3 linked regions of the Struthio camelus genome follow. The protein of the gene in region 3 interacts with the protein of the main gene of each other region in a biochemical or structural test. Links are inferred from orthologs where the notes say so. Each region holds a gene or a part of one and is shown on either strand. Other genes may lie near its edges.

Region 1 (10,976 bases), on a different chromosome or scaffold from region 3:
TCAGGAAGCTCTACTAGTATTACAGAAGCAGCAAAACCAAGTCAAAATAAACAAAAAGAACCCTCCCAGAACCTGATAGAACTGTGAATGAAATGCAAAGAAAGTAAGTGGAAGATCCAGCAACATTGCTAAGAGGGGGGAAGAGTTTACTCAAAGCCCGTTCAAGAACAAGACAGCTCCTTAACCACGTGCCAAGCTTTAAAACCGCTACAGTTGAAACCTCATGTTTGGACACAAGCCTACCTAGAAGACATATTCGTAAGTAACATTTAAATACCTTGGAGCGACTCTTGCTGAATCTCTTGATCTTGGCCACATCAGCAGCAGAGTAGAGAGGCCGAATATCTTTGCTCATCTGCTTCACGTGACAGGCAATGAGGATAGTCCTGGAGAAGAAACACAGCCATGGTCAGGTGTGCAAACCCCAGAGGCCTACAGGTCACAACAACAATGCAATAGAAACTTCCACAGGGTGATTTGCTCTAGAAAGTCCTCACGGAGGGCTGGAAAGCTCCAAGAGCTATAACCCTCCTCTGTCTTTGTCTAACTGGACTACTCAGGCAACGCAGCATCTTTAAGAGTGTCCAACCCACTCCACACACAGCTGGACTTTACAATTCAATAGTGATGCTAAGGAACCAGTAGCAAACCCAGCTCTGTGATGGCTACCTACTTGCCCTACCTCACCCGCCAAAGACATGACCCTACTGAAAAGTGTGAACAGCCTGGAGTTGTCCTTCAGGCCAGAAGGAGACTCACCTGAATGTCCCTGAAGTATAACCCCCTTTCTTTCCTGGCAGGCAGCGGTATGTCCCAACCACCTGGATGCGGTCCCCAGGTTTCACTTTGTCCACTAGGTCGTCATCTAGAATGACATCCACCGAGCGTGGCAGCTGCCCTGCTGGTGCCTTCTCAGGCATCTCCTGGATGGTGATGGTTTGATGATCCTTGTAGACTGAGAGGCCAAACTCTGTCTCCAAGGGGTTATTCTCTTCATCCTAGAGGAGGAACGAAAAGAATAAGACTAGCATCACTTTTTAGGAGCGCTGGAAAGATGGGTGAGCTGAGTGGCGAGAAGACAGGCTGCACCATCCAAAACACGTAAGACCACTGAAAATGGTTGCTTAATAAAGACTGCCGGAGCCTGGGGTTCACCAGCTCCACAGCCTCCTTATCTAACTCTTAGCACCCAGGAGTGTTGGTACACTCTCTCTCTCCAAGCCCTGTAGCTAATGTAGGCAGCAATAACACCACCCATGCAGAAAACAGTACGTGCACTGAGGTCACAGCTCAGGTCAACATTCTTGCACTCCCAAATACAGACCAGTCATTCTGCCCAAGGATGCATATATCCTCCAGGAGAAGACAGATCTGCCCATACTAACCCAGGTACCAAAAGCAAGAAAACTGGCTGAAAACCCTTAAGAAAACCAGCTAAGCATCTTATAGCAGAAGCAAGATCATAACTAACATCTGAGCTTCTCAAACGAAAGCTGGTCTGGTGATTGTGTGACTAACAGAGACTTCGTTTTAAATGTTCCTAGTAGCTCTCGGGCTTTGCCACATCACACACTCTTTTCTCTATTCCATGGACTATGTAGGCAGAGGAAAAAGAGATCCACAGGGATCTGAGACCCTCAGCTCACAAACAGCGTATTCTCCCCAGAGGGACTTGCTGACACTTCTCACTAGACCACTTCACCTTTGTAGGGTACACAGAGCTGGACGGGAAAGCATCTAGAGATGTCATGTCCGTATAGCGACGCTCAATAGTTTTCTTAGTAGCTGGGCAATAATGGACACTCCGGACAATCTTTGGACGAACCAGAGAACCTGAGTTTGGAAGAAAAGAGAAAAGAGCTAGGGCCAACAAAACCCCCTCTATATTCAGCCAGCAATCCCCCATGCAATTTCCACTCAGAACTGCACTTGGGACATCTGTTGATAGACAGGGTCTGCTACGTGCCAGAATTTGCCAAATTCGTTACATCAAAGGCCATCTCAACATTCAGAACTTGTATCTAGTCCCGTATTCCCCCTTATGCATGTTGCCAAGATGCACCTCAGCTCCTGGATGAGCTACAGCCCCTCCACAACAAAAACCTCAAACCACTGCTCTTCAGCATAGCTATACCTCAGGTATCCCATTCTTCCCCCACCACACATCCACACTCACATTTAGTCACGATGCCCTCCACACAGACGACACAGCTAAGGAAACAGGCAGTCAGCGTCCGGGGCGACACGTGCTTGGAACCAAAGCTGCCCTCGAGCCCAATGTAAAAGTCCTCATATTGCTTGGCATAGGTGGCGTCAACAGAGGCAACAAAATCCTTCAGAGCACGCTGGAAGGCGATCAGCTCCTCAAAGGCATTGCTCAAAAGCCTGAAACAGGGGGAGGTGATGATGTCGTCAGCTCAGTAGCAAGGACCAGGCATTATTAGCGTGCTGCCTTCCTCCATCAGTACATTTGGGAAAATGTGCAAAGCTTTTCCAGGCCTCCACACACTCTGAAAGCTTACTAGAAAGCTGAGGCAAAAAAAGACAAAGCTCATCACCTCTGCTGGTCAGCTCAGCTCCCACCAACAGCCAGGGACTGTAGGAGCAGAACTGTCCAACCATATCTGCAAAACCTCACATGTCCCTGAACGGATTTGAAAGCCTGGTCCAAAATGGTACTAGCATCCTAAAAGGAGACGCTTCATACCATGCAAAAAACCCCAACTTGCTGCAAATACTAGAACTAATAGTTTTTACCAAATCAAGGGTTTGCTAGCTTTGGAAGGCATGAACATCAAGGCCCATCTTTACAAGGGAACCAGCATTCTTGTGGTCCACAGGACAAGGTCCGGCCCTTCCTTGCAAACAAGACGTACAGAAAACGGGTTAAACTTCTATATCTGCGTGGTGCCAGTGATGCACCCCACCATCCCACTCAACACCCATCCAAGCTTATCAGAGGCTCCCCTAACCGGTTAGCTCTCTTCTCGTTCTTCCTCCGCAGGTCGTTGATGTTGACAAGGAGGCGGTACTGGTTGTCACTGATCATATCGCGGACTTTGCTGTGGTAAATCCCTTGATCTTCCTGCAGAAGAAATACCCATTTTACATGAGCAGGTGTTACAAACACAGTCCTAAGGAGACAATTTCTGCAAAGCATCTCTTGCTGGCAGCCTTTTAAAGAAGCTGACCCCAATGTCAAAGCAGCTTATCATAAGAAACGGGTCCCATTAGGGCACTTTCAATTTTTCCCACATATTGCAAAGCACCCTCCTTTCCCAAGGACTTCACCGCTGTCTCACATTCTTGTATTTAAAGATCATCCTCATCAGATTTGGGTTGTCCGAGATAGCGCTGAGTTTGCATTTAATCTAAACACAGATACGCCTGCTTTAGTCCATCTGAATGGGCTGACCCAGGCTGCTCAGCAGACCCACACCTGGGCCGTACCAGCACACTCGGGCAGCATACGCACTCACTGCTGGCTCTTCTTCACATCTAAAGGGAAAAGCAGCCCTGCACCTTGCCAAGCTCCCAGGAGCGGGACCCCCAAGTTCAGCCTGCAGCAAGGCAAGGAGCCAGGCTGGAAGAGCCCCCGAGGCCGGCTGCTGCCTGCCCCTGAGCTGCAGCTGCTGGATCCCATAACTGGACTGCGGGGGGGGGGGGGGGGGGGGGAGGATGGAGGGGTGCAGGCGGTCCCCCACCCCAGGGGCAAGGAGGGAAATGCCCCAGAGCACCCCCCCCGCAACACCCCAACGCAGCCCCACTCCCGGCCTCACCTCATCGTCTAGGAAATCCAGGTAGTCGCGCTGCGCCTCTCGCAGCTCTGCATCCTCCAGCGCGCCCGCCGGGGCCGCCATGCTCCCCGCTGCACCGGGAGGCCGGGCGGGCCGCCGGGCTCCCGACGGCGCCGCGGTGGGGTAGGGTGGAGGGGGACGCACAAACCGCGCCGGGTAAGGGCCGGGGCCGCAGACCTCGCTCCGCCGCTGCCACCCGGTGCCGATCGCGCCCGACCACGCTCCGCCCTTGGCGCCAAATCCGACGCGTTTTCCCGCCACCGCAGGGCTACAGCGCGGGGAAGCGGGGGGGGGGGGGGTGTTCCGCTTCCTTCCCACCGCCGCTCCTCATTGGGCGGCGCGGCCTGACGTCGCGGAGCCTCCTGCCAATGTGAGGGGGGCAGGAATTCGCGGGAGCTGACGCGCCACAGCGCCAGCCAATCAGCGCGCGGATGGGGAGATGGGCGAGGGGGGATTTCGCGCGCTTGCGGGAGGCGCGCTGCCAGGGGCTGGAAGCCGCCGGCGGGTTGAGAACCACGGGAGGTTTGTTGTTTTGTTTTTGCTTTTTTTAATTTCTAACTTTTTTCACTTTTTATTTTTCTTTCAGATTTTGAGGAGACCCGTTTTCGGGTGTCTTCTCCCCGAAGCATGTGGGGAGTGGGCGTTTCTTTTTCCTTTGAGACGGCAGATTAAATTCTTCTTTGCTGACGTGAGTCCAGGAATTGGGGGCTTGAGATTAAAAAAAAAAAAAAAAACAACACAGATACTGCGCATTTTGCAGAGAAATGGCGAGCTTTACGCATGTTTTTGAGAGATGTTGCAGGCAGGAATCACAGAAAAAGGGGGACAGTTGCACCTCTTAAGTGTCACGTATATAAAAACTCGCTGATACCCCGCTAAAAATATTATTTTGTACACCTTAAAAATAATATCTAAACTCTGATACTCCGATCATTAAAAATCGTTTACGGATTAAAAAGCAGAAACGTTCTCTTTTATTCAGCAAGGCATGCAAACTTGCCTGTGTCCCCTAGATAGTGCTATAACTGAAAACAGTTGTAGTTGGGCGGATAATAAATACTCTCTCAGGATTGTGTTTAGCTGTGTAAAATGCTGCCTCAAATATTCCTCCTGCTTGATGTCACTAGAGGGAGCAGCTTCAGTTCACGAGCTTGCAAAGTCCCTGGAACAAAGGCGCAGGAAACAATAGCTACCCTGTTTCCCCTTTACCATTTATGTCTCTAGATCCTCTCCCTCTAAACGCGTTGGAAATGTGGTTAGTAACTATCGTGAGTGGTTCAGGGTATATGTAACCCGAGTCCTTGAGGAGTTTCGCCCCACAGATTTTTCAGGTAATTCCACATCAAAGTGCAACTTCAGCTCTTCTAAAGTTTTTGGGCCCAGTCCTCCTCTGGAATAACGACAGAGTATTGAATGTGGCAGGCTGGCAGGAGTAAAGGATTTAGTGCTCTGTTACACTCTTCCCCTCCCCCCCAGGCTATTTTATTACCTCCTGAGCTGCACACTGCACCTGGAATGGCCTTCCTGCTGCTGTGTGCCGCCACAGCACCCATTTTCCTTCAGACTCCCCTCAAATCCATCTCTTTCCGTGATTTTCTGGACAATTTTTGGTTTTATTTCCACTGACTTCCGTGGGGATGGCAGGAGGATGAGGCCTTTTGGTGTGCCCGTACTTGTACCACAGAGACTTTCTGGCCTGGTAAAAGAGCCTCAGAAAGCCCCTGGCAGTGCAAGATAGAGCACCTTTGGGGCTGATCTAAGCTCTACTGGGGACCAGAGTCATCTGAGCACTATCAGAAGAGATAGAAAGATACTTATTCTGCTTTCCATAAGGCAACATAATACAATACAATAAGCACTACAAACATTTCGGGTAACGTATTGTGTGTATTTATCAACCCCTGCCATGAAAGGAAGAACGCGAGAAGCGCGTGCCCTGGGTATTAGGAAGAATGATATATAAGTGGCCAGGTCAGCTGTAATTGTATAAAGTGCCTGGAGGAATCATCTGTATAAGTCCCTAAATGAAATATAATATGTTCTGTATATGTTACCAGAACCTGACATGAAATAATCTTCTCTGAAACAGTTTTTCTCACTCTGCAACAGACAGTCCCTTGAATCCATCAGTGAATGCAGCCGACTTGCTTTATCACAGGTAAAAAGATTGATGGAGGCGAAGGGATTTGTTGAGTTGAAGGGCAGTTCCTCAGGCACCTGTGGATCTGGTTGCAAAGCAACCCATGAATCCAGCTGAAAGCTAGTGCTTTTATATGTGCCAGAGTCACCAGGGTGGGATTCATCTCCAGAGTCAGATACCCATATCCAGACAGTATGGTGATCTCACCTATGTTTAGGTGTCTTATTCTCAAAACGAATCCTAGCTCCCAGCAGGGGAGGAGGATGGGGTCCTCTGCTCTGGAGTCGCGCTCGCTGGACCCGGAGCAAGGTAAGGGAGCGCTGCTTGCCCTCCACTGCCACCAGCGCGTGCAGAGCAGTGCTCGGCCCACACTTCTACACCCTGCTCTGCCCCAGCTTGTGGGATCGGTTTGGACCCCCAGGACTAACATTTTGACACCCTCTTCCCAGGCCAGCTAGAGCTGAAAGGGAGTCAGCAGGAACCGTCGTCGCTCCTGACCTCAAAGTAACAAGAGTTAGGGCTAAAAATAACTGCCTGTTGTTATTCATGACAGTGCCCTATAGCAGCTGCTCTGGTGCTTGTGTGAATAATTAATTGGAACAGGTCAGGCCGGAGAGAACAAAGGGATGAAGAGAGATGGAGACTGCAGCAGAAACCGAGCTGTGGCAGAAGCTTCTCTGCCTCTGTCCTGGGGCAGAGGAAGCAGCATGACGCTCTCAGCGTAGAGTCTACAGCTGTCCTATATCATGTAAGCACTGCAGTGGCCCTTGCCTATCCCAGAGTCTTGGAGCACGCTGCACCAAATAACGAAGGCTCACAAAAGGCCTTCAGGATGGGTACACTGTCTCTGTCTCACCCCGAGGCTATGGGCTTGTGAGCAAGGGGCTTTGGTGACGATCCTGGAATGGCCATCCCTGCTAGCCTCCTCCAGGGTTGTCTCCACTCTCATGAGAGACAGTGATACCCCAGCGTGCTACACAGGGAGGCTGTGAGTGGGCCAGTTCTCCGGGCCGGCTCACGACGTGGCGAAAAAACCACACTACCACATGGAGTGGGGAGGAGACCTTCCACCTTTAGCTCATGTTATTAGCAAAGACTTTCTCGGATAAAACCAAGTGGAGGAGAACCACACAAAACACACATCTGCCAGGGGTCACTTTCAGCCAAGACAGCCAAACAGGGCTTCTTAATTTTGCACCGGCTAATTCTATAGCTATCAGGAAATTCCAGATTTACCATAGATAACATTAAAAATAAACAAGCATTTTGAGAAGAATTAAAATGAACAACAAAACCAAGTGCTCGTTGCTGGGGCTTGTGCAAATCCCTACCTTTTAGTACTCCCTAGGAGACTTTCTAAGGACAGATCACCAGGCAATTCTCTCTCATATGTCCTGTCACACTTCAGCTGTTATTAGGAAGAGTGAAGCACAGATCCATAATGATATTTAGGCACCTATTATCCACTGAAAACAATGGGAATTAAGCACTTAAATACATAGAAGGTCTGGGCTGCAGAGCTCAGATCTTAGCAAGGCTTTCATTAATTCTTTAATCAATTAACGAAACCCTGAAAGAATCAAGAGTGGGTGTAGGAATAAATTCCATGGATGAATGACACACAAGCGGTGTTGACCAGAATATCTTAACTGTTCCTATTTACAGCTTGGTAGAAATGGGCATTGATAGCAGTTACATCTGCCTGTCAGGCAGTGACCAGCAGTGGAATTTTTGCCTGCTCTGCTCTGTTCTTGAGCCTTTACGGATAATGTGAAGGGGTAACGTGTTCTTGGCAGGGAAAGTGGAGATGCAATAGCATAACATTGCAAAGCTGCAAACCTGCTTCCAGGCAGAAATCCAGCCAGGCTAGTACAGGCAGAAAATCAGGCCGATCATAATCAGTGAGGAACAAATAGGGTGTGCAGCTCCCAGGAATCACAGAATGGTTGAGGTTGGCAAGGACCTCTGGAGATCATCTAGTCCAGCCCCCCTGCTCAAGCAGGGTCCTCTAGAGCACATTGCCCAGGATCATGTCCAGGCGGGTTTTGAATATCTCCGGGGAAGGAGACTCCACTACCTCTCTGGGCAACCTGTTCCAGTGCTCAGTCACCCTCACAGGAAAGTTGTTTTTCTTCATGTTCAGACGGAACTTCCTGTGGTTCAGTTTGTGCCTGTTGCCTCTCGTCCTATCGCTGGGCAGCACGGAGAAGAGACTGGCCCCATCCTCTTGACACCCTCCCTTCAGATGCTTATACACATTGATGAGATTCCCCCCTGAGCCTTCTCTGCTCCAGGCTAAACAGGCCCAGCTCCCTCAGCCTTTCTTCAGAGGAGAGATGCTCCAGTCCCCTGATCATCTTTGTAGGCCTCCACTGGACTCTCTCCAGGAGTGCCGTGTCTCTCTTGTCCTGGGGAGCCCAGCACTGGACACAGTACTCCGGGTGAGGCCTCCCCAGGGCTGAGGAGAGGGGCAGGATCACCTCCCTCCACCTGCTGGCAACGCTCTGCCTAATGCACCCCAGGATACCGTGGGCCTTCTTGGCCACAAGGGCACACTGCTGGCTCATGGTGAACTTGTCCACCAGGACACCCAGGTCCTTCTCTGCAGAGCTGCTTTCCAGTAGGTCAGCCCCCAGCCTGTCCAGGTGCATGGGGTTATTCCTCCCCAGGTGCAGGACCCTGCACATCTTTGTTGGTCTTCATGAGGTTCCTCTCTGCCCATCTCTCCAGCCTGTCCAGGTCCCTCTGAATGGCAGCACAGCCCTCTGGTGTGTCAGCCCCTCCTCCCAGTTTTGTATCATCAAAGCACACTTGCTGAGGGTGCACTCAATCCCTTCATTCAGGTCACTGATGAATAAGCTGAGCAGGATTGGACCGAGTATTGACCCCTGGGGGACACTGCTAGCTACAGGCTTCCAATTAGACTTTATGCCACTGACCACAACCCTCTGAGCTCTGCCATCCAGCCAGCTCTCAATCCATCTCACTGTCTGCTCCTCTAGCCCACGCTTTGTCAGCTTGCCTACGAAGAACTAACGTTGACATTTTCAACGAGGCTTTGCAGTGGGCTGAAATAAGATTGGGAGATGGAGGTACCACGGAGGAGAGAGCCAGAGGAGCACCTGAGTTCCCACCAGCCAGGTCATGAACGTAGGCGCAGAGCTGCTCCGCACTGGCTAGCAAACTTTCCTGCTTCTCCAAGGACTGCCGAGCAGGAGGAAGGCCTTGCTGAGATTGCATGGGGTAGGGAGCCAGCTCTCCTGCAAAATGCACCAGGCTGGCCACATCCGACTGTAATAGCAATGACTTTGATCACTACCTACTGGATTTTTTTTTTCCTCAGACCTCTGCGAATGCTTGAATCCCATGGTGTGAGATTTCTTTATATTGCTGTGCATAGATGTCCCCATGTACACTAGGTTTCTGATACCGCTTTATTGATAGTCTTTATTTATTTCCTGTTCCACTGGAGAGATCTCTGCTTTTTCACACGCACATACCCTGTGATCTCTCCGTGGCTCTATTTTGCCCTTAGTTTAAATGAAAGTTAATTTTCAAGCCAGTCAAGTTACTATCTATTAGCTTCCCGTTATACCGAGCAACCTTATCTAGCCCATGAAAGGGAAAGGAGTGCAGGAGTAAGCTGCGCAGTTAAGTGGCTTGTGGTTCACCCACAGCTCCAAAAATGAGGAAAGCATATTCCAGATAGAAGAGAGGGTCACTTTGTCATTAAGCGGCACATTTGGGTTAAGATTTCTGTGATGCTTCAAAAATATTTAGAATAAAGTGGAAGTGTAATAAAATGTATTGAACGTATTGAATAGAAACAAAAAATCTGCTTCTTTTTAATAGAAACAATGTGGGAAATGAGATGATCTGTGAAATGTTTTTGTCCGTTTAAATCTTTGCTTTCCAAGGAGTAAAAAAGGGTTTGTCCGTTCCGTGTTCTCATCTAGCTGTCCTTGCAGTAGCTGACCTCAAACCGTGGAATTTGCTCTTGCAAGAGGAAAGAGTGATCCTGACTCTCACCGCTTCAGGGCCAAATGTGGAAGAAATAATTTAATACCGGAGGAATCCTTCTTAATCCTCTCATCTGACCTTTTACATAGCATAGGCTGGATAATTTCACCCGATCGCATCTGCACCAAACTCAGGCATTTCTGACGTAATTTTCTTTAAGTATTTGCCATTCCCATGCACTCTGGTAAATCTTTAAACTGATCTAGCTTTTTTTTTTTTTCTTCTTAATGTGTGGGAAGAAAAACAAGGAAAACAACCATCAGTGCTTATGAACAGAATGTATTTACTTTAAATGCATGGGGAGCTGCTTGTATCTCACCAAGAGGGCACAGTAAAGCGTGCAAAAAATTAAGACTGACCTTCAGCCTATTAGGATGTTTTGTAGCCTTCCTCTTACTTCCCAGTGCAGCAAGCCTGGTGCAAACAGGTCTGCTTTCCCTCCCGTGGGCAGATGTACAGTATTAGCACAGCCATGGGAGCCTGCTGGTAGCATAAAATCTCCTTGTTCCAGTCCTGCTTCGCCGGCTGCCTTCAGGATCCTGCGGGCGCTTCGCTCTTGTTCTCCTGCTGTGCAAAACAAAAATACGGTGGTCAAAAAAAAAAGAAAAAAGCAGCCACGCAGGCTGTGTCTCTAGGCACAATCGAAAATGAGTCCCAGGGCAAATGAAACTGGAGGAGTGGCTCAATCAACAAACCTCCAGATAGCGCGGCCAGGAGCGTGTCTCCTTGGTGTGGCAACCCGACCACATTTCTAGGGAAGTCCTAATGGCCCAAATATAGATCCTCCGAGATTGTGTGTTGCTATTTCTGTCTGCTCATCTGCTATCGTGAGTTCTGGCTGTTACTAAAGACAGTGACAGCTGGCTCTTTTTTTCCTCTTTTTTTATTTTTTCTTCCAGGAGTGGGAATCACCAGTCTTTAGGCATAGCACTGTTGTCTCTGCGTTACATCAGAGACAGACTTCACGCTCCCTTACTAGCGATCGCCAAGATCTGCTCTCGGCAGCAAGGCAGTACCAG
Region 2 (10,024 bases), on a different chromosome or scaffold from region 3:
AAATCTCAGGTCATATATGCTGAAAGTGCAAAGCATCAAGTTGTCCTGTAGTTATATGCACCTATCTACGTACGCAGCTGCACGTTGTATTTATACCCATGCCCAAAGTTCCACGTTTCATCTGGCACAAAGCAGATCATACTGATTAAAGGGGAAGCTGAATCAAAACATAGCTGTTTTCACCAATTTTTGACACGCTCAAATAAAGCTGAGGCACCTTACCTAAATTAGTATTTACATGAAAGAGAACATTACCGACTGCTGTATCTAAAAAAAAAGGAAGTGATCTTCAATAAATCACTAGAGCAATCCTGAAATCAATTAAAATGCTTGGAACACCCTTGTATATATCAATCTTGAAAACAATGAAGCAGACTAAATGTAACATGCTGAACACAATTGGCATATTTTCCTCTTAACTATTTATTAGTAATGTTAAATATTGAAAGATGCTGAGAAATAGAGATGACCATCAAACTAAACAGCTTAAGCACCATTTGAGAAGCAACTGTTACACTGTTCATATGTATTCTGAAAAAAACTCTGAAAACTCTTTTTGGGGGGAAAAAAAGGCTTCTCTTCCGCGGCTGTAACACAATTTAACTTGCTGTGTTACAAATACAAACTCACCAGCAAGCAGGCCGGAATAAACCCATCCTCTGTACAGTGCTCTGCATATTCTTTCAAATCTGAGCTTTCCAAAATAAATTCACGGCAGGTAGCTAAAAGCTTTTCCTGTTGTAAATACCCTGCAATAAATCAGACAGAAGACTTTGCTATTTTATTCATTATTTCTGCATGTTGTGCTTGGTAGGTATTGAAGCATTAATACGACCAACTATATGATATAACGTTGGAACAATTAGATAAGGATTCATGCATTAGATAAGGAAACTGAAGTCATTATGAAAGAACACCTATCTTGCAACGTATTCCTTTAATAGTTAAAACCAGAAAGAGCACATATTATTAACATTGTACTGGATTTACAAACTGTTCAAGACTAGAAGTGAGACAATATGAACAATTTCTGACTGATCGTTAGTACACATAGCACTGTACAGACAAGAAAGAAAATATCAACTTCTTAAGTCAGGAATAAACTCACACATGGGTTTTGATTATAAACATCTAGTTTTATAAACAAATAGAATTCTATAGTACTGTATTAATAAAATGCATTGCTGTGCAGCAATAACTCTCCATAAATTCTCCAGCTTCAGAACAGGTAGAACATATGCATCGTTAAGACAGCGCATTAGATTTCTTCCAAAAATGACATTATATAAAAATTATTTTTACAAAATCAGTATTTTGTTTTTCTACTTACCGTAATTTTCATTTTTAATAGGTATTCTAGTGTACACTTGTACACTTTATATACCCTACCCCAAGACTCAGTAGTTATCTTACCAGGAACTATACTGAAAAAGTTCACTTTTTCAAAATCCCAGTCCTCAGTTAATATGCTCTTTTAAGGTATTTTAAATCCCGCTTTAATCTTCAAATAGTCTAAACGCTAAAAGGTAAAGCTAGATCAATCTGAGTAAAGGATTACAGAACAAAAGAGCCATAAAACAAAATATCGTGCCTTTTCTTTCTTATCTGTAGCAGAACTGCATACGCAATCGTTTAAAGAGTTAAAATACACATACCTAATCATATTCACACAGAACCCCAAAACAGCCTGCCTCAGTTCAGGAAAGTCCATAGAAAAATCCTGCCTTTAAGTTCACATGAAGACATAATATCTTTTATCAGATCCAAGCATAGCTAGAAAAAGTAGATCAGCTTTCACACTCACAGGCCTCCGACAAATAAACTTCAAAGTTAAACACAGTTTGAGAATAACTGCTGAGAGTTTCATTAGGATGTACGAGCTAGCCCATATGGGACAAAATGTAGTTGGCACCTGCGGAATAGAGAGGGCTGCCATATTTAATGTTTCAAATACATTTTGTTAGAAAATCCTCAAACCACAAATTGCTAGAAGCTGAGGGCACACTGGGGGAAATACACCTACATGCCAGTCTTATGCCTGTCTGCTGTACCATCCATTGCTGACCAGTATTACAGACAGGGCATTAAGCTAGATGGGAGTTCGACTGTAAGAACAGCCATACCAGCACAGATCAAACCCATCTTCTGGATCTTTGCTAAAAAACAGTTGCAATTTCTTTCTTGAGCCTCCTATTGCGAAGGATGACTGAATGCCAGCACACAGGCCTATTTGGCACATACATCAATTTCCTGCAGATAACGGCGACTGAACTTAAATTGTCTGTGCACGTACATTACAATAACAGAATCATATACAACCTTCAACATTACCAAAAACAAGTTAGAGGCACAAAAGGAAGAGTGCCTGCTGAACTAGAAAGTATTCAACATTTTGTTCTATCTTAATATATGTGAAGACCTATGGTCTACCTTACAGTACTCATTCACTCTTTACCTAGAAAACGATAAATTTGCTTATGCCTTTTTCTACAGGCAAGCTCATCTTACCATTTTAGTTCTGTTTCTTAAATCAATACTCATCAACACTCACAGCACCAAAAAGACTTTGCTAGAGAAAAACAAAAAAAAAAAAAGGAAGAGGAACTGCGCTAGGAAGCCTGTTGATCTGCTCAGAATTCAGATGCCTCAGAGAGGAGCAATCGCTATTAGAAGACAAAAATAACTGTTAAGAATATCCTGTTCTACAATCTTGGGTTGCTCAGAGATTTTCTAGGACTACTGCATGCACTACGCCACAACAGACGCAAGATAGGACGGAGCATCCTCAATACACGCGAAACGTTCAAAATTTTTATTCTATCTACAAGTCTCTACGCAGCACGTGAGATAAACTGTTTACTAAGAAACTTACAACTTAACCAAAATTTTATCGAAAAGTATAGCAAGTAAATGGCCAAAAAGAGATATCCCGCGCCAAATTGTAAGTGTTCTTTTACAATGCACAGAATTTGAAAAAAATCCTATTACTTTGCAATAATAAAAACAATGTTTCTGTTGTTACGCTCAGTTCTCGAAAAGCAACAACAAACGTTTCAGGTAGCGTTTAAAAATAAATAGAACTGCAGACAGACGAAAGAAAAGATTCAGCCTCACTGGTTTTTGACTGGCAAAATCTGCCCAGGCTGTCTGTGCACCTGAAAACAGCATCTTGCTATGAAAACTGCCAGGAAATCTTAGCGACCTGGACCAGTACCTGCTGACAGCGTACCTATTACATATAGGGGTCCTACTTCCAATCCACGGCCACTTGCTCTCATCTTTGGCTGTGACCAAACATTGCAAGCGTAAAGTCTTTTTAGCAGTTTATCCTCCCTGCTGTCAAGGTCCTGAAAACACTTGTTTTATGCTTCCCACGGACGCAGCGCGCACCACAGAAGGGAGTTCTCGATCTGACCTCGCGGCTCACGGAAACAGGGAAAGAAAAACCAGCTGAACCCTCACCTGTTCTCATCTGGCCTCTTGGACCACCGGGATTGGTGCTGAGAGCAGAGGCTCCCCCCAGTCTCGCCCACCAGCCCCCGCCCGCACAAGGAGGCGGCAGAGCCCACCGGCCTTCCCGGGAGTCACCTCAGCGCCGCTCCCGGGCGGCTCCCGACGCAGCACCCGCCCGAGCACAACGTGGCGCCTCCACCTGCCCCGCCGCTGCCTTCGCGGGGGCCGAAAGCCGCCGGCGAACCGGCCGCGCTCCCCGCTAAAAGCGGGGCCCAAGGCCGCCCGACCGCCCCGGGGCGGCCCAGGCACTGCGCCTCGCCGCGGACACGGGTGACATCCCCGGCGGCGGGCGGCCACGGCCCGGCGCCGGCCGAGGCTCAAGGGCGCAGCGGCTGCCTCCGCGCGCCTGCCGCCCCGAGCGCCCTGTCAGCGGCCGGCGGAGCCCCCTCCTCGCTTCTCCTCGCCTCTCCCCTCCCCTCGCCCTGCGCGGCCGCGGTCGCGGCCGCCTCCGCGGGCCCGGCGGTGCCCGCCCCGCCCGCGCGCACTCACCCAGCACCAGCCGGGCCACGTCGGACGGCAGCAGCATGACCCGCGGCGCGGAGGGGCAGGCGGCGCGGGCGCGGCGAACGCGGCCCCCCGAGGCGCGGCGCGGCCGCCCCGCCACCCAGGGCAAGGCGCGGAAACTCCGCCAGCCAGCGCCCCGCCCGGCCCCTTCCGCCGGAACCCGCCGCCGCGCATCCGCTTCCAGGTCCGCCGCTGCCGCCGCCCACACGTGCGCTGCGCTGCGCTCCTCTCCTCTCCTCTCCTCTCCTCTCCTCGCCCGCCGCCGCCGCCGCGAGGGGGGCGCGCGCCGCCGCCGGCCGTTAAGCCGCCGCCGCGCGCCCGCGCTGCGCTGCGCTCCCCTGACGCCGCTCAGAGGTGGGCCTGCTCCTGCCCGTCCGTGCCCTCCCGATGCCTGCCCCCGCCCCGGCTGAGGGGCTGCTCGAGGCGCGGTCCCCGCGCGGGTGCTGAGGGGCGGCCCGCGCGGCGGGTGGCGGGCGGCGGGGAGGCAGCGGGCGGCGGCGGCGGCCCGGCGCTCGCCTGGCGGCGGGCTGGGGTGGTCGGCTGTGGTTACCCGCGAGGTGGCGGTTGGGCCGCTGTAGCGTAGCTCGGTGAGGAGCGCTCGGTGCGTGTCTGCTGTTTTTAAAGGGCTCCTTCCTTGTCCCACTTGTCCCAGGTATTTTTTTTTTTTTTTGAAAGGGGATGAGTGCCGTCATGATTTGGTAGTTGGCGACTGGGCTGCAAAGAGAAACGGCAAGTGCGTACAGTGTTAGGAACTTGTCACTGTTGTTGTCATGGTAGTTAAAATACCTTTAAATGCCAGTAAAAGAAGACGCGGCCCTCTTTCTTCTTGAGCCCCAGTCCCTACAACATACAACCCCGTGTTGCCACAGTTCTCAGTCAACCCTTAATTTTTCATCCCATCAATGTTTTAGAAGCCTTTAGCATGTGAAATGTTGTTTCTTGCTTTCGGTTATTTTCGGCATAAGTAGCAAGTTAGTAGAGGAATGCTTCCTTGCTTAACTGAGCTTAGTTGTACGCCAGAGCAGGCCTTTCAAGCTTGCCATAGGTTCCTTTTCCTCAATACCTAACTAGCCACCATCCCTTTCTGGTCATGTTTACTCAGCTCCATTTCCGTGTTGACTGTCTCCATCCATCTTAGCTGCTAGCTGCCACTACTACATGGTGGTGCCTTAACGTTGTGTTTCACGGTTGTCTTGAGTTCTCAGTTCTGGTCACCTTTAAGACACAGATTTACAAGGAAGAGAACAGGAAGGTGGGCACATGAATATGTGACAGGAAAAAGGCCATTCAAGTCGTGATGTTCCCATAAATCCTAGCACTGTGATAAGATGGAAAGATGATCTTAGGGGATTAAAGACAGAGGTTCGAACTCTTCTAGAGGAACAAGAGCTCTCAATATTCAGAGTTTTATGCACAGGACTATCTGTCAAGTTTGACCTTTTGTCAAAGAACGTGCTCAGTATTTTTTTTTCCTGTGATGCGCTGTATAGATGGCATAAACGTCAAACATTTGAAATCTGCTGTTTTGTTTTTGCTTTGGGAAGGGTATATGTCAGGGACCCCTGCCCCTGGTTATTCCACAGATTGGTCAACTCTTCTGTCCTTTTTCTCCTCACCTCGGTTTTTAATGCGGTCAAAGTAATCACGTGGATTATAAAGCAGTCAAAATAATTTGCTATTAAAATGTGGTTTCCAGACATATATGAAGAAACCCATTTGTCTCAGCGTGATCTCTGTTGAATCCAAAGAAGATGAAAGCAAGATGATGTTTGTATAAGACGGTAGATCTTTAAAGTTTTAACTGCCTTATTCAGCTAAATGGTTATTTATATATTCTTACTTAAGTGTTCCGGGGCCAGTGATGTGCATCATGTATGCCAGTTCTCAGCTTCATACTGCAGCTTCAGCAGCATATGCTTGGTGTTACTTCCAGCATGTCCATCTCTGTTTTTCAGATAAGAGTTTGTCCTGAGGCTAGTTTAAGGGAAAGGGTACAAGGAGAAGCATGGACGCTGCATACAATTTCATTGTCATGATCTGCGTCAACATAATTTTCTGGAAACCAGAAATGTAAGGTTGATCTGATTCGGACGTATGTTAAAAGAGGTAGGGCATAATCTTAAGTAGTAATAGAAGCAAAAAAGTATTTTTCTCCTGTCGTTGATATTTGAGCATCTTGTGGTATTTGGAGTCCAGAGGCATTTGTAAATATAATGGTGCATAGCTGTATAATAGAGAAGGTTAGAGTGGAAGAAAGTTTTATTTTCAAAGAGCTGCCTTTTCCTCATCAGGTTAAAAGTGCTTCTGATAACTGCTATGTCCTGAAAGTTAGTGCTGTTTGCCTGATTAAAATGACATAGAGCCGAGTGTGTTCTCATTACCGTTCATGTTTCAGTCTGTATTGTCTCATCGACTCTCTGCTCTTTCATTAGCCTTAAAAAGAAGGAAGTCAGTCATGTGAAAGGACCCTTTTCTGTTTTTGTCCACAACTACTGCTCTTCGGAATAGATTGCATTCTTGACATGACACTTTCTACTTCTGTCTTGTGAGCAATAGCACCAACCCAGAGAGGAATGAGCTTTTGAGTGAAGTAAAGCTGTTGTATTTGACATGGAAATGCAATATATTGAAAATTCAAAATTTTGAACTGATTGACTTGGCTCTGTGTTAAATAAAATAATTTATTTCATCCTTTTTTTCTGTTTGCAGATGCAAATGACTGTCCTGTTAAACTGAACCATGAGTCTTGTGTTACATGATCTGCTCGTTTGTTGCCGTCACCTTGAGAATGATAAAGCTACAGAGCGAAGGGTAATAAGGTTTCTTCTGGTATATATCATTCTCAATGAAGGGAATGATTAATAACCTTTTTTTTCCTGAAATACATTTTCAGAAAGAAATTGAAAATTTCAAGCGACTGCTCCGTGATTCTGAAACAGTTCTCCAACTGGACCGGAATTCTGATTCTAAACAAGCAAAGCAACTCAGCTGGGATGCTGTATTTGGGTAGGTTCTTTTACTGTCCAGAGCAAAGCATTTTTCTTCTTTTTTTTTTTTTTTTGGTGAAAGGTCATGTTTCTTGCATGGAACATCACTATTTTGTTTATCAGGCTTATTTAAATGCTTATCTTCCTGCGGATTGATTGAGGCTTCTTGTCAGTCAAGAAATGACTTATGTTACTCTCTAAAAGAAATAAATCTAAAATAGCCAAATAATGCATCAATCATCTGAGTACAACACTTTCCACTTACAGAAGATGCAGGGGCACACAGCACGTTGTAAATGTACAAACACTAGAACCGTCTCCTGAGAAACTGATTGTTAATAGGTGGTTAGCTTTTCTTGCAAAAATAATAGTTACTTTCTGTTACTGAAAAATATCCTCTGCATCTGACTTTCAATTTATAGTTCATATGTCGATTTTAAGTATCTCATTTAAAATTTTTCTGTAACTGAATTCTTCAAGACACAGCAGAAGGACTGTGCCTTATAAGCTAAAGAGGTCATGCTGTGAGGTTTGTAGAGGCCCATCTTTGATATAATTGCTTTAGGTGTACTACAAGATTGGACTGAGTGGGAGCGGGATAAGTTTTTAGAGCAGTTGGGCCCACTGCAGTTTTCATATTAAAGTGTGTCTGAAGTATTAGTTTTTACAGATTGGCATCTGGGCAGATTTACAGAATATTTTTTAATTGGATGGCATTTGAATGGGTCTTGTTTTACACCTGTAGCAAAATACTGTAAGAACTTTTCAGTAAATTTCTTATGTTGCTTTTGAGATGGCCAGACTCTAAACTGAATACAAATAACAAGCCAGAAAATCTACAGAAATTGCAACAAAGCCAGTAAAACGTTTAATCTATTTGTATTACATATTAACTTTAAATGATAGAGAATTGTTATTGTAATAAATGGATAATACCTTCTCCACACTGCTGGAAGGTTTGTATTTTTTCAGGAAGTGCATATCTATTAAGTCCAAAAATATTCAGTTAAAACATCCAGTCGACTGTAAGTGAGCTTAAAAGCAGAAGGACTTCAAGGTTTTCCCCAATACAGCCAGTAAAAAGTATTTCTTACTATTTTGTGCTATAAGTCGCAGCATAAATAACGATATTGTTTTTTTCGTTATCATGGATTGTATGTTTAGCATTATGCAAAGTATGTAGGAATATTCAGTTCTTATCCGAGTTCCTTCTGGATCATCTCAGCTCCTTTTATAAACTATTCCTATCATGGTTACGCTGTAATGTATTTTGGTGTTTAACAGAGCTTTAGAATCAGAATTGCTAAATGAGCAAGCACTTGAATTCTAAGTGCAAACAATGTTTACTTATTTTACTTAGGTCAAAAACGTGCAGATTCTTGATTAATGTCTCTGGTGTTTTTTTTGAAGAGTCCTGCAGAAATATTTCCAGAAAGAGATGGAAAGCTTCAGACTGACAAAACCAAATGTATCTGTTTCAACGCAAACTTCCAGACAGAAAAAGATGCAAGAGATTGGCAGTTTGGTCAAATACTTCATCAGACGTGCTAATAAAAGTCAGTAATACATGTCCATGTAGAATCACTGATTCTTTTATTTGGTGCTTTACTTTCAACTGTGAATTTTTGCTCTGAAGCAAGTTGTCAGGGTGGGGTTCATCTTGCCCACTCTCAGTTGTTTACAAATTAAATATCTTTATTTGCATTAGTTCTTTGTATGACTTACCTTGTTGATGTTGACAATGCCTTTTTAATTATTTGCTTTGCCTATAACTGGTGTATCCTTTCTCTTCTTGTAAGTAATTTTGTTTTTAGAGACAGTTTGTTTAAAAATATGATCTCCAGCAAAACTGTTTCTGAACTGCATTTTTTTTTTAATAGTGAATATGGAAATGATCATTTTGCAAGCAATTAATTCCGGGTTTGTTATGCAAGCTTTGGATTAATTGCAATGCTCACTTTGTTTCTTTACATAGGAGGACCCAGACTGAAGTGTCAGGAACTTCTGAATTATGTCTTGAAAATCATGAGAGATGCAACAAGTTGTGCAGCTTACGGAGCTGACTGTAGTAGTATACTCCTAAAGGATATCCTTTCAGTAAGGAGATACTGGTGTGAGATATCCCAGCAGCAGTGGTCAGGTAACATTTTTAAGCCTACTTACGAGTGTCTTTTCCTATTATGAAAGTATGTTTAGATGGGTTTTAGTTGTCTGATGCTATTACTGCAAAGCCCTGTTGCGTGAGGTACTACACATTGTATGAGGTACGAGACAAAACACATGAAGAAAGGTAGGGTCAGCCCTGAAGACTTACAACTGAAATAAAATCAATCGTTAATCTTTATTGCTTTGCTTCTTTTTGCATATTATTTGTCTATTTCCTGCTGAAACGTAAGTGTTTCTATACAATGAGTATATGTATGCACGTTTTCTGCAGGAGATAACATATATTACGAATCCATGGAGTTTGTATAGAAGAAATAGTCTCAGTAAAACTGGTCTTGGTGTACAGTTGTTGGCAAGTTGTTATTAGGTATTGACTGCTATAGGTTTGATATAGTTAATGTACTAAAATTAAATTTTATTATCTGAGTTTTATTGGCTCACGAAGGCCCTAAAAAGCGTGGATTCAACGTTGTTATATGTTAATACTACATATAAAGAAAAGATGAGAACGTGTAAGGTTTAAATAGATTAAAACAGATTTAAAAGTTGGTCTGGCGTGCAACCTCCACTGCTAGGGGAAAAAGCAAACATAATTTTTTACTTTTCAGAGATTTGGTTTTGACTCCAAGACAATTAACTTATAAATGTTCTTCTCCAGGCTGGATATGTTTTGAATCATCTAACTGGCATGTAGTGAACTCTCAACTCATCTATTTTAATTTGTTTATGTAATAGCACAGATGATTAGTAACTTGAGAAAAGAAGGAATTAGAAATTTTAGTCTAGTTTGTTCAATCTCGCATGTGTAATTGTGGAGAAAGTGTAGAAGTACAAAGCACTGTGCTATGCAAATA
Region 3 (10,275 bases):
CTCCCTCACTGGGGGCTTCATCAACAACAAATAAGGTGACCTAAGGGGGCGTAGACCTGCGGCCACAGCCACCAATCAGAACGCGGGGAGCTGCCCCATGGCCCAATCGCAAGGCAGCAGGCTCCCAGCCCAGCCAACCCGAGGCCAGAGCCGCGATGACTGACGCGGGCGAGCCCCGAGGGCCCAGAGCTGCCCAAGGCAGGCCCGCCCACCGCCTCCCTGCCGGCCAATCAGAGCCGGCGCCCACCATGATTGACAGCCCACGGAGGGGCGGAAGGGCAGGCCCGCCGAGCGCGGGGGCCGCTGGGAGCCGTGACCCTTGACCCCGCCCCACCGCAGCTCCCAATTACCTCACTTAATGAGGGCCCTCCCCGGGGGGGCGGGGGCTCGCCAGAGGCGGGGCTTATCCGGACCAATGGCAGCGCTCCAGAACAGAGGTGGGGCGTGGGCACCAATGGGCGGGGCCTGCGGCTGTGGGCGGGGCCAAGGCCTTGGTGGGGGGTGTCCCGTGGGGCAGCCCCACTGTGGGGCCGATGGGGGCGTGGGGTAGCGAGGCCCAGGGGCAGGTGTGGGGCAGGCCGTGGCACCAGGGGGGCACGTGGGGGGCCCTGGAGACCCCCAGCAATGTGTATGGGGGGGGCACATAGCCATGGGGCACACCTGGGGGGCCCTGGAGACCCCCAGGGGCACGTACAGGGGCCACGTAGACCCACAGCAACGCATGTGGGGCCCATGGCACATGGGGGGAGTCCTATAGACACATAGGGTCTGCAGAGCCCCAGGGGCAGGTAGTGGGGCCATATAGACCCACAGCAACATATAGAGGGGGACCATATAGCCACGCACATGCATAGGGGTCCTCTAGACCCACAGAGACACATGGGGGGGGCCATATAGGGGTACAAGTCGGGTGGCCACAGAGCCATGGGACCCTATAGGCGCGGAGGCACGTATAGAGCCCATGTATAAACGTAGGGGTGTATACGGGCGTCATTTAGCGACGAGGGTGCCTATGGGGGCCCTGCCCCGCCGGGAGGAAAGCCAGGCGCGTAGCACGGCTGGGGGGGGGAGCCACACACACAGGGTGCCTATGGCCACGTCTATAGGGGAAGGTGCAGGGCAAGGGTTTGTGCCGTGTGAATATATATGTGCACGTACAAGGGGTGAATGCAGGGGCTCACGGCGCGCGTAGGCCAACGGCAGCCCCTGGCGCCAGCCGCAGCCCCACCGCCGCCGCACAGCCACCACCCGGCAACGAACTAGGAATATTTAATGGTTTTTAAAGGAGTTACACAAATATTTTTAACATTTGGTAAGAAATCACAGCCGGGAAGTTACAAAAGTCAGCGACAAAAATACCCCGGCAGGGCGGGTTCGGAGACGGCTGTAAAGGGATTCTGTTACAAAACGCTCCAAGGTGCTTCTCTAAGAAACGCTCTACAAAAGAACTCTGCTACCACAGCCTCATAAATACCTATTCGCTCCAGTCCAAAAATACATCTGAATCTTCATGTTCCCAAATATTGCAGCAGGCAGCGAGCTGGTAGCGACCCCCGCCCAGGCCTCCACCTCCTCTGGCGGTTTCCAGCGTTCGGAGGGGGAAAGCGCGCCCGGCCGCGGGGCTCCCGGTGCTGCCCGAGGAGCCTTGAGAGCCGGGACAGCCCCGCTAAGACGAGGAGCGGCCGGCCTTCGAGACAGCGGCCGAGGAGGAGGAGGAAGCCAGGACACGCTGGGGACGAAGACGCTGCCTCCCTCGACCCCCTGCGCCCGGGGGACGAAGGCGAACGCGGGCAAAGGCCTCTCCCCTCGCGCCGAGGGAGCTGGGGCTGGTTTCCCTGCCCGGGACCTGGTCGCAGCCCTCCCCGCCAGGCCGGGGCTGGGAGCAGGGCAGTGGCAGGAGCTGCCCTGGCCCGGGCTGCCCGCACGGTCCCCATCGTCCCCAGGGCTGGGTGCGAGCAGCCCTGGACAGATCCGGCTGCTTCCAGGGAAATAAATACATCGGGGAGGGAGTTGGGTTGAACCCGCCTCGCCTCTGCGAGAGCCTGGCGCGATGCGCAGCCCCGAGCCGGGACGGGGTCCCCAAGGTCGCAGCTCCGCAGCCCGAAACGTCTCCCGGGGAAGGGCTGTAAGTGCCTGAAGTCCAGGGGAGGGGAGACGGGGGCCTCCGTGGGGCCAGAGCGGAGCAGGCCCGGCCCGGGCAGGATCGCGCCCGCCTGCAAGCGGCAGAGCTGCACGCCGGTGGCCCCACGCGGGGACCTGCTCCGCTCCCCGGGGGCTCGGACCCCGCTCGGGGCCGGAGGGCGGTTGCGGAGGGGAAAGAGGGTCCCTGAGCCCCGGGCTGGGGCCTCGGCGGCGCTGCCCCCGGGGCCGGAGGTGCTTCCCAGCATCTCGCCTCCGCGGCGGGGGGCCGGGGGGGCGTGCGCGCGGGCAGGGAAGGCGGCCCCCGCTCTCCGGGCGCTGCCTGGGCAGCGGGAGGCTGCCCGGTCCTGTCCCGAGGGCTCCGGCTCGGCGCCGGCAGAGCCCGGAGGGCTAAGTGCAAGCAGGAGGGGCGGCAGCCCTGGGGCCAGGCTGCGTCACAAGCGCAGGTGGGGGACAGCCCGGGTGACGTCGCGGAAGAAGGGGTGACCCAGCGCCGACTTGGCCGAGATCCGCTTGTTGGGGTCGTAGTGCAGCATTTGCTGGGGAGAAGAAGGGGGCGGTGAGGGGGCGGCCGGGGACGCGGGAGCCGCGGGACCCTGCTCCCCCCCCCCCCCCAACCCGCCGCGTCCCTCACTCACTGCCAGCAGCTTCCGCCCCTCCTCGTCCAGCGGCGGCACCACTTTGCTGAAGTCCTGCCGGGCCCACTTGGGGAAGCTGGGCTTGTAGTCGGGCATGGAGGTGACGCCCGGCCACATGGCCTCGTCCGGGGTGCCCAGCGTCCGGAAGATGCGGAAGAGCTGGTCGATCTCCGAGTCTCCGGGGAACAGGGCTCGCCTGGTGATCTGGGCGAGAGGGCAGAGCCGTGGAGAGCCGGGCTCCACTGGGGCTGCGGCCGGTGCCGTCGCCCCAGCACCCGCGCCGGGCCGGGCCGGGTTGACCCCAACGCGAGGCAGGGGCTGGCCGGGCCCGCGGGCGTTACGGAGCCGCCTGGCTTCCCCAAAGCGCCCAGTGACGGGGCGAGAGCCGGCGGGCGCCGCACTGGCAGGTCTCCGCCCCGGGACGCCTTGCCCTTTCCAACCAAAGCTCCCCCCACCAGCACGCGTTGGTGGGTGCCAGACAGGGCCAGGCTGCCCGACAGGGGCAAACCCTCGGCCAGAGATCAAACAGCCCCTCATGACGCGGCGCCGCGTGAGCTCCCGCGCCGGCCCCTCGTGACGCAGGCCCTGGCCCCGGGCAGGGTGCCGGCCCCGGGGACGTGTCCCTGCCCGGCCGCGTGATGCCCAGCCCGGGCGGCGGGGCTCACATGACGGCCCCGCTCGCCCCGGCCAGCGCGGCCCCTTCCTCCGGGGCCCGGGAGCCCACAAAGCCCCTTTTCTTCGCCGGTGTCCGTCAGCCGGCTCCCCGCGCCGCGGTGACGCCAAGGGCTGCCGGCCCCGGGCGTGCGGCCGCGCAGAACCGGCCCGGCGAGGCCGTGCCTCGTCCCCAGGGCGCCGGGCGCACCCGTGCCTCGTCCCCAGGGCGCCGGGCGCCTTTGGACGCGAGGGGACAGGGACCGGCGCCGCTGCGGAGCGTTGGGAGCCAGGCCGGGCCGCGCTCGGCGCCTCTCCCCGCGCAGGGGCGCCCCGGGGGGCCGCTCACCATCTCGGCAAAGATGCAGCCCAGGCTCCAGATGTCCACGGCCGTCGAGTAGTACTTGCAGCCCAGCAGGATTTCGGGGGCCCGGTACCAGAGGGTCACCACCTGCCGAAAGGGGCGAACGGGCGCTGGCTCCTCCGCCCTGCCGGGCCGGCCCAAGCCGTCGCTCCCGCCGCCGTGCGGGGAAGCCGGCAGGCCGGGCACGTGCTCGGGGCGCTCACCTCGTGCGTGTACGTCCGCACGGGCACCCCGAAGGCGCGGGCCAGGCCGAAGTCGGCCAGCTTGATGGCTCCCTCGGCGTTGATGAGCAGGTTCTGGGGCTTGAGGTCGCGGTGCAGGACGCGGTGGGAGTGGCAGAAGGCCAGGCCCTGCAGCAGCTGGAACAGGTAGCTCTGCGGGCGGAGGGCGGGCGGTGGGCGCGGGGCCGCCGGGAGCCAGCCCGCCGCCCGCCGCGGCCCTACCTTGATCAGGGGCAGGGCGATGCCGCTGATGGAGGACGAGTCCATGAACTTCTTCAGGTCCTGGTGCAGGAACTCGAAGACCAGGTAGAGCTTGTTCTCCGTGTGGATCACGTCGAGCAGCCTGGAAGCGAGCGGGGTGCAGGCCTGGGCCCGGCGCCGCGGCCAGGCAGCGGGGCGCTCCGCTCCCGCGGCCGGCCCCCGAACCGGCCGGCCGAAGAGGCGAGGGCCGGCTGCGAGCGCGGCCGGGGCGGCTCCGCCAGGCGCCCGGGCCCCCCGCCGCCCCGCTTACTTGACGATGTTGGGGTGGTTGAGCTCCTTGAGCAGGGAGATCTCGCGGATGGCCGTGCTGGGGACGCCCTCGGTCTCCCTGCGGGTGAAGCCACCGGGGCCGGGCTCAGCGGGCTGGGCCGCCGCCTCGGGCCCCTCGAGCCGCCGGGCCGGGCTGCCCGGGGGCGCCGCGGCCCCTCCCGCGCCCCGGCCCGCCGCGCGGGGCTGCCTCACGTGTCCAGGCGGATCTTCTTGAGCGCCACCACCTCGCCCGTGACCTTGTTCCGGGCCTTGTAGACGACGCCGTAGGTGCCCTCGCCGATCTTTTCCACCTTCTGGAAGTTCTCCATGGGGCGGCGGGTGGGGGCCGGGCCCGGCACCGGCGGGAGGCTGGTGCAGGGGGTCCTGGCGCTCACTCCCGGGGGGGATGCAGGGGTCCCGGGGGCTGGTGCCGAGAGGGTGCAGGGTGTCCTGGGGGCCGGTCCCGGGTGGGGGGGTGCAGGGGGTCCCGGGGAGGTTCCGGAGGGGGGTGCAGAGGGTCCTGGGGGCCAGTCCCAGGGGATGCGGGGGGGGGCCGGTCCCGGGGGGAGGTGGGGGGGCCAATCCCGGGGGGGAGCAGAGGGAGGGTACAGGGGGTCCCGGGGGCCAGTGCCGGGGGGGCAGGGTGTCCCGGTCCCGAGGGGGGCAGGGGGGGTGCAGGGGGTCACCGAGGCCGGTGCCGGGGGGGGGGCCGTCCGGGGCGTGCAGGGGGTCCCGGGGGCCGGTGCCGGGGGGGCCGGTGCCGGGGGGCCGGTCGGGGAGTCCCGGGGCCGGGGGGAGGGCGGGGGGGGTGCAGGGGGTCCCGGGGGCCGGGGGGCCGGTCGGGGGGGGCGGGGGGTCCCGGGGCCGGGGCCGGCGCGCGGGGCGGATGGAACGTTCGCGGCCGCCGCTTCCCCCCGCGCGCTACAATGTTGCCGCGGCCGCCGCCCGCCCGCCGCTTCCCGCCTTCCGCCGGCCCCGCCCCCCGCGCCGCCCCATTGGCCGGGGCTGCCGCCGACGCGCCGGGCGACGCGGGAGATCCCTTAAAGGGACAGGCCCGCCCCGAGGCCGCTGACGCGGGGACCTTTCCGGGGGGGGGGGGAGGCCGGGCCGAGCCCCCCCGGACCAGCTGCTTCCCGAGCCGACCCGGCTTGTCCTGGGGGGGGGTGTCCTCCTGGGACAGGGACATGCTGGGCTCTGGCCGGGGACCCCCACAGCCCGGGGACGCAGTTGGGGTGGGATCTGGCGAGGGACCCCCACAGCCCGGGGACCCCCACGGGCCGGGGACGCAGTTGGGGTGGGATCAGCCAAGGGACCCCCACAGCCCAGGGACCCCCACAGCCCGGGGTCCCCCACAGCCCGGGGATGCAGTCAGGGCGGGATCAGCCCGGGGTCCCCCACAGCCCGGGGATGCAGTCAGGGCGGGATCAGCCCAGGGACCCCCACAGCCCGGGGTCCCCCACGGCCCGGGGACGCAGTCAGGGCGGGATCAGCCCAGGGACCCCCACAGCCCGGGGACCCCCACAGCCCGGGGCCAGGGCCGTGCTCCTCTAACCGCGGTTCCCCCGTGGCCTGGGGACGGGGTCGTGCTGGGTGCTGGCGAAGGTCACCCATGGCCGGGGCTGGGGTCCCCGTCCCCAGGTGCGCCCAGCGCAGGGTCCCCGGCCGCGGCCGGGGCGATGCTGCCACCTCCCCTCCGGCCCGGCCAGCCACCTGGCAGGGGACGGAGCCGGCAGCGGTGTCACCGAGGAGGAGGGCCCGGCTCGAGCTGGGCGCCAGGGCGGCCGCGGCGGGCTCTGAGCGCGGAGCCCCGCTCTCGGGGGCAGCGGTGGCGTCGCCAGCGATTTGGGCGCAGGGGAAGGGGCTGGAAACCGCGGGAGGAGTCCGGCGCGCCCACGCGGGGCAGCGGCCTGCAGGGAGCGGAGAGCGGGCCAGGTGGCCGCCCCGGCCGGCCGCGCGGCGCTGCGTGACCGCAGCCGAGGCCCCGGGGTGCCGGGCTCCAGCCCGGTTCCCGGCGAGCCGAGCGGGCGCCCTGCCCCGGCCGGACACCTGCGCGGGTGCAAAGGGCCCGCGGAGGGGAGCAGCCGGGACCAGACCCGGCAGCAGACCCCCCGAGGGGGCTGCGGTGCGTGGAAGGAGCGTGTGACCGGCCGGCCGGGGGCGGGGGGGCCGCACGCGCGCCCCACGCGCACAAGGGCAGCTGGGCGCTGCGGGGGGGCCGGGCCCCGCGGGGTGGGACTATGCAAACGAGAGCCCCTTCTTATCCCCCCGGCGCCGGCGCCTTCGCCTCTCTGCCCTGGCAGTGCCCGAGCGCGGGAGGCGACGACGGCCGGAGCATGCGGGTGCAGGGGGCGATCGCGCTGCTGGGGGCCCTGCTGGCCCTGGCCGCAGCTCAGCGCCGTAAGTGGGGCCGGGGGAGCCGCGAGCGGGGCGGCCGCTCGCCCATGGGTGCGGGGTCCCGGTGGCACCCAGAGTCCCACACCGGGCGGCCGTGGCCAGGACGGTCCCGGGCGGCGATGGGGCCTGCCGGGCTCCCCAGGGTGGCCAGGGGGGCGGCGGGGAGTTAACAGGGCTGCTGGTGGGCCCCGGCCCCCTGCCCAAGGGAGGGGAGCAGGATTAGCCCCTGCTGATGCCCGGGCTGGGCACCGCGGGGGGGTGCGAGCGGGGCCGGGGCGCGTCGCGGGGACCCCGCGCTGCCCGCGACGGGCGGCATGGCCGGGGCGCCCCTGCGAGCCGGGGGACAGCGGGGGCACCCGCGGCGAGGGGGGGGCTCACCACCCCGCCGGGCCCGGAGCCGCCGCCGGCTCAGCTGAGAGTCACATGAAAGGGCTTGGGCAGCGCGCGGCGCCATGTGACGGGCTCGGCCCCCCGGCGCCGCGCGCGGCCTGGCCCCAGCCCATCACGCGGCGTCTGGCCGGCGCGAGGGCCGCGCGCCCGGGGCCGCCGGGGAGCCCCGTCACCCCTCTGTCCCCCAGGAGCCGGCGGCCGGAGCCCCGGCAGCAGCCGGCGGAGCCAGACGTGGAGCCAGGCGCCGGCGCCTTTCCGCAGCTGGGACGCGGGGCTCTACCCGCCCTGGCAGGATGGGGCCCCCTGGCAGAGGGACTGCTGGCGAGGTGGGGGCCGGGGCCGGGGCGGGGGGGGGTCGGGGCCGGCGGCGCCCGTCGCTGAGCCCCGGCCTCGCGCCCCTCCGCAGGCGGCAACGTCACCTTCGACATCAGCAGCGACGCGCCCACCATGGCGGGCGCCAAGGCCACCTTCTCCATCGCCCTCCGCTTCCCCGGCGGCCAGGCGGCGCTGCCCGACGGCCGCGTCGTCTGGAGCCGCGACGGCACCGTCAACGGTGAGCGCCGGCCGGTGCGGGCGCCCCGCTGCGCCCCCCGCCGCCGCCGCCGCGCTCACCCCGCGCCTCCCCGCAGGCACCCGCGTGGCCCGCGGCCAACCCGTCTTCCCGGAGCAGCTGCCCGAGGGCTCGGACGGCGTCTTCCCCGACGGGCAGCCCTTTCCCCGCAGCGCCCGGGGCGAGCGCGGGAGATTCGTCTACGTGTGGTGGACGTGGGGTGAGACCGCCGGCGCCGGTGCCGCCGGGCCCCCCGGAGCCCCCGGTGCCGGGGCTGACGCCGCTCCCCCGCAGGGCGGTACTGGCAGGTGGTGGACGGCCCGGCGTCGCGGCTGACGGTGGGCACGGCCGGCGTGCCCCTCGGCTCCTACACCATGGACGTGGTGGTCTACCACTACCGCGGCCGCCAGAAGTTCATCCCCCTCGGCCGCGCCAGCACCCGCTTCAGCGTCACGGGTAGGAGCCGGGGCGGCGGGCGGGGGGCACCGGGGGGGCGGCGGGCGCGCTGACGGCGCCGTGTCCCCCGCGCAGACCAGGTGCCCTTGGCCGTGGACGTGGCGCAGGTGCAGGGGGCGGCCGGCGGCGCCGGGCGCTTCGTGCGCAACCGCGCCGTGGCCTTCGCCGTGCGGCTGCACGACCCCAGCGGCTACCTGCGCGACGCCGACGTCTCCTACTCCTGGGACTTCGGGGACGGGAGCGGCACCCTCATCTCCCGCAGCGCCACCGTCACCCACACCTACCTGGAGGCCGGCTCCTTCGCCCCGCGCCTGGTGCTGCAGGCCGCCATCCCGCTGAGCCCCTGCGGCAGCTCCGCGCCGCCCCTCGTGGACCCCACCACGGGGCCGCCGCCGCCCTCGGCGCGGCCCACCGCCACCAGCGCCGGCCCCGCGCCCAGCACCGCCGCGGCGCCCAGCACCGGTAAGCGGGCGAAGGGGCGTCCCCGGTCCCCGGGCGCCCCACGGGCACCCCGCGACCCCTCCGCTCTCGCTCTGCCGCCAGCAGCCACCGCCTCGGCGCAGCCCTCGGACCCCTCCGGCACGCGGCTCAGCCTGCTGGCGCTCAGCACCCCGGCGGCCACGTCCCTGCCCGGTGAAGGAGCCGGCGCGGAGCCCGCTGCCGTCTCCGCCGCGGCGTCTGCGGACCCCCTGCTGCCCGCCTCGGCCTCCCCGGCCGGGGACGCGGCGGACACCTCGTCCCCCACGGCAGGACCCGCTGCCAGCGCGGCGGCAGCCCTGGCTGCAGGTGGGTGCCCTGCTCCGACGCCGGAGGGAGGGAGCCGCGGTGGGACCCCGCCGCCCCGTCCCGCTGCGGGCTGCGTCCAGGCCCGGGTCCCGCAGCTTTGCCGGGCAGGGACCGCGGGGGGAGACCGGCCCCTTCGGGGCAGCATGTGACTGGCCACGTCCTCGGGGTCGCCGAGGGTTTGGCTCCGTCCCTCCCTGCCTTTCTCCAGCCTCTTCTCTCTGGTTCCCCTGCAGATGCTGCGACAGCTGGAGCCACAGCTGGAGCCACTGTTGCATCCCTAATGGATGCCACAGCTGGAGCCACAGCTGGAGCCACAGTTGCACCCCCAGTGGGTGCCACAGCTGGAGCCACAGCTGGAGCCACTGTTGCACCCCCAGTGGGTGCCACAGCTGGAGCCACAGCTGGAGCCAGCGTTGCACCTCCAGCGGGTACCACAGCTGGCGCCACAGCTGTACCCACAGCAGGAGCCACAGCTGGACTCGCAGCCTCCACCTCTGCCCCCGAAAGCGCCGCGGAGCCGCTGGCGCTGGTGAAGCGGCAGGCGCCAGGCGCCGAGCCGACCAGCTGCGTCCTGTACCGCTACGGCACCTTCTCCACCCAGCTCGACATCGTGGGTGAGCGCCGGGCCAGGGGGGCTGGGGGGGGACCAGGGGGGACCGGGCGCTGGCGCCGCTCTGACCCCGCGGCCCCTTGCAGAGGGGATCGAGAACGTCGCCGTCGTCGCGTCCGTGCTGCCGGAGGGCAGCGAGAACAGCGTGGAGCTCACGGTGACGTGCGAGGGGAGGTGAGGGCCGCGCGGGGACCGCCAGCTGGGGCGGGGGACAGCGAGGGGACCGTGCCCCGGGCTGGGGGGGGAGGGCCGGGACCCCCGGGCCCGCGCTGACGCCCGCCCGGCAGCCTGCCCGAGGAGGTCTGCACCGTCGTCTTGGACGCCGAGTGCCAGACGGCGCAGCAGCGGACGTGCAGCGCCGTGGAGCCGGCCCCCGGCTGCCAGCTCGTCCTGCGCCAGGACTTCAACCAGTCCGGCCTCTACTGCCTCAACGTGTCCCTGGCCAACGGCAACAGCCTGGCCGTGGCCAGCACCCGCGTCGCCGTCGGAGGTGGGAGCAGGGCCGGGGGGGCGAGGGTCCCCGTGCCCCCTCGGGGGCGGCGGGGCCGGGACCCCCCGCGGCGCTG

Evidence for each region. The genes of interacting proteins can lie anywhere in the genome.
Region 1: the proteins of CDK2 (region 3) and MCM3 form a complex in vitro, tested with the Homo sapiens proteins (2 studies listed by BioGRID and IntAct, with this or other methods). The link is inferred for Struthio camelus from reciprocal best matches to the Homo sapiens genes CDK2 and MCM3.
Region 2: of the proteins of CDK2 (region 3) and NPAT, one has a biochemical effect on the other in vitro, tested with the Homo sapiens proteins (2 studies listed by BioGRID, with this or other methods). The link is inferred for Struthio camelus from reciprocal best matches to the Homo sapiens genes CDK2 and NPAT.

The regions. Positions count from the first base shown.
Region 1 is NC_090944.1:11,534,747-11,545,722, reverse strand, and holds the start of MCM3 (DNA replication licensing factor MCM3), read right to left. Parts: upstream 4,170-10,976; 5' UTR 3,861-4,169; coding exon 3,780-3,860; intron 3,086-3,779; coding exon 2,973-3,085; intron 2,386-2,972; coding exon 2,177-2,385; intron 1,834-2,176; coding exon 1,703-1,833; intron 999-1,702; coding exon 760-998; intron 387-759; coding exon 278-386; intron 1-277. UniProt on the Homo sapiens protein: Acts as a component of the MCM2-7 complex (MCM complex) which is the replicative helicase essential for 'once per cell cycle' DNA replication initiation and elongation in eukaryotic cells.
Region 2 is NC_090942.1:205,613,211-205,623,234, reverse strand, and holds the start of NPAT (protein NPAT), read right to left. Parts: upstream 4,170-10,024; 5' UTR 4,040-4,169; coding exon 4,003-4,039; intron 750-4,002; coding exon 631-749; intron 1-630. Other genes in the region: serine-protein kinase ATM, read left to right, coding at 6,757-6,828, 6,911-7,023, 8,415-8,560, 8,980-9,144. UniProt on the Homo sapiens protein: Required for progression through the G1 and S phases of the cell cycle and for S phase entry. Activates transcription of the histone H2A, histone H2B, histone H3 and histone H4 genes in conjunction with MIZF.
Region 3 is NC_090969.1:687,768-698,042, forward strand, and holds CDK2 (cyclin-dependent kinase 2), read right to left. Parts: upstream 5,002-10,275; 5' UTR 4,853-5,001; coding exon 4,737-4,852; intron 4,603-4,736; coding exon 4,525-4,602; intron 4,357-4,524; coding exon 4,236-4,356; intron 4,167-4,235; coding exon 3,996-4,166; intron 3,880-3,995; coding exon 3,778-3,879; intron 2,982-3,777; coding exon 2,778-2,981; intron 2,679-2,777; coding exon 2,574-2,678; 3' UTR 1,254-2,573; downstream 1-1,253. Other genes in the region: melanocyte protein PMEL, read left to right, coding at 6,857-6,920, 7,496-7,633, 7,714-7,860, 7,937-8,077, 8,152-8,313, 8,389-9,099, 9,333-9,713, 9,796-9,883 and 1 more. UniProt on the Homo sapiens protein: Serine/threonine-protein kinase involved in the control of the cell cycle; essential for meiosis, but dispensable for mitosis. Phosphorylates CABLES1, CTNNB1, CDK2AP2, ERCC6, NBN, USP37, p53/TP53, NPM1, CDK7, RB1, BRCA2, MYC, NPAT, EZH2.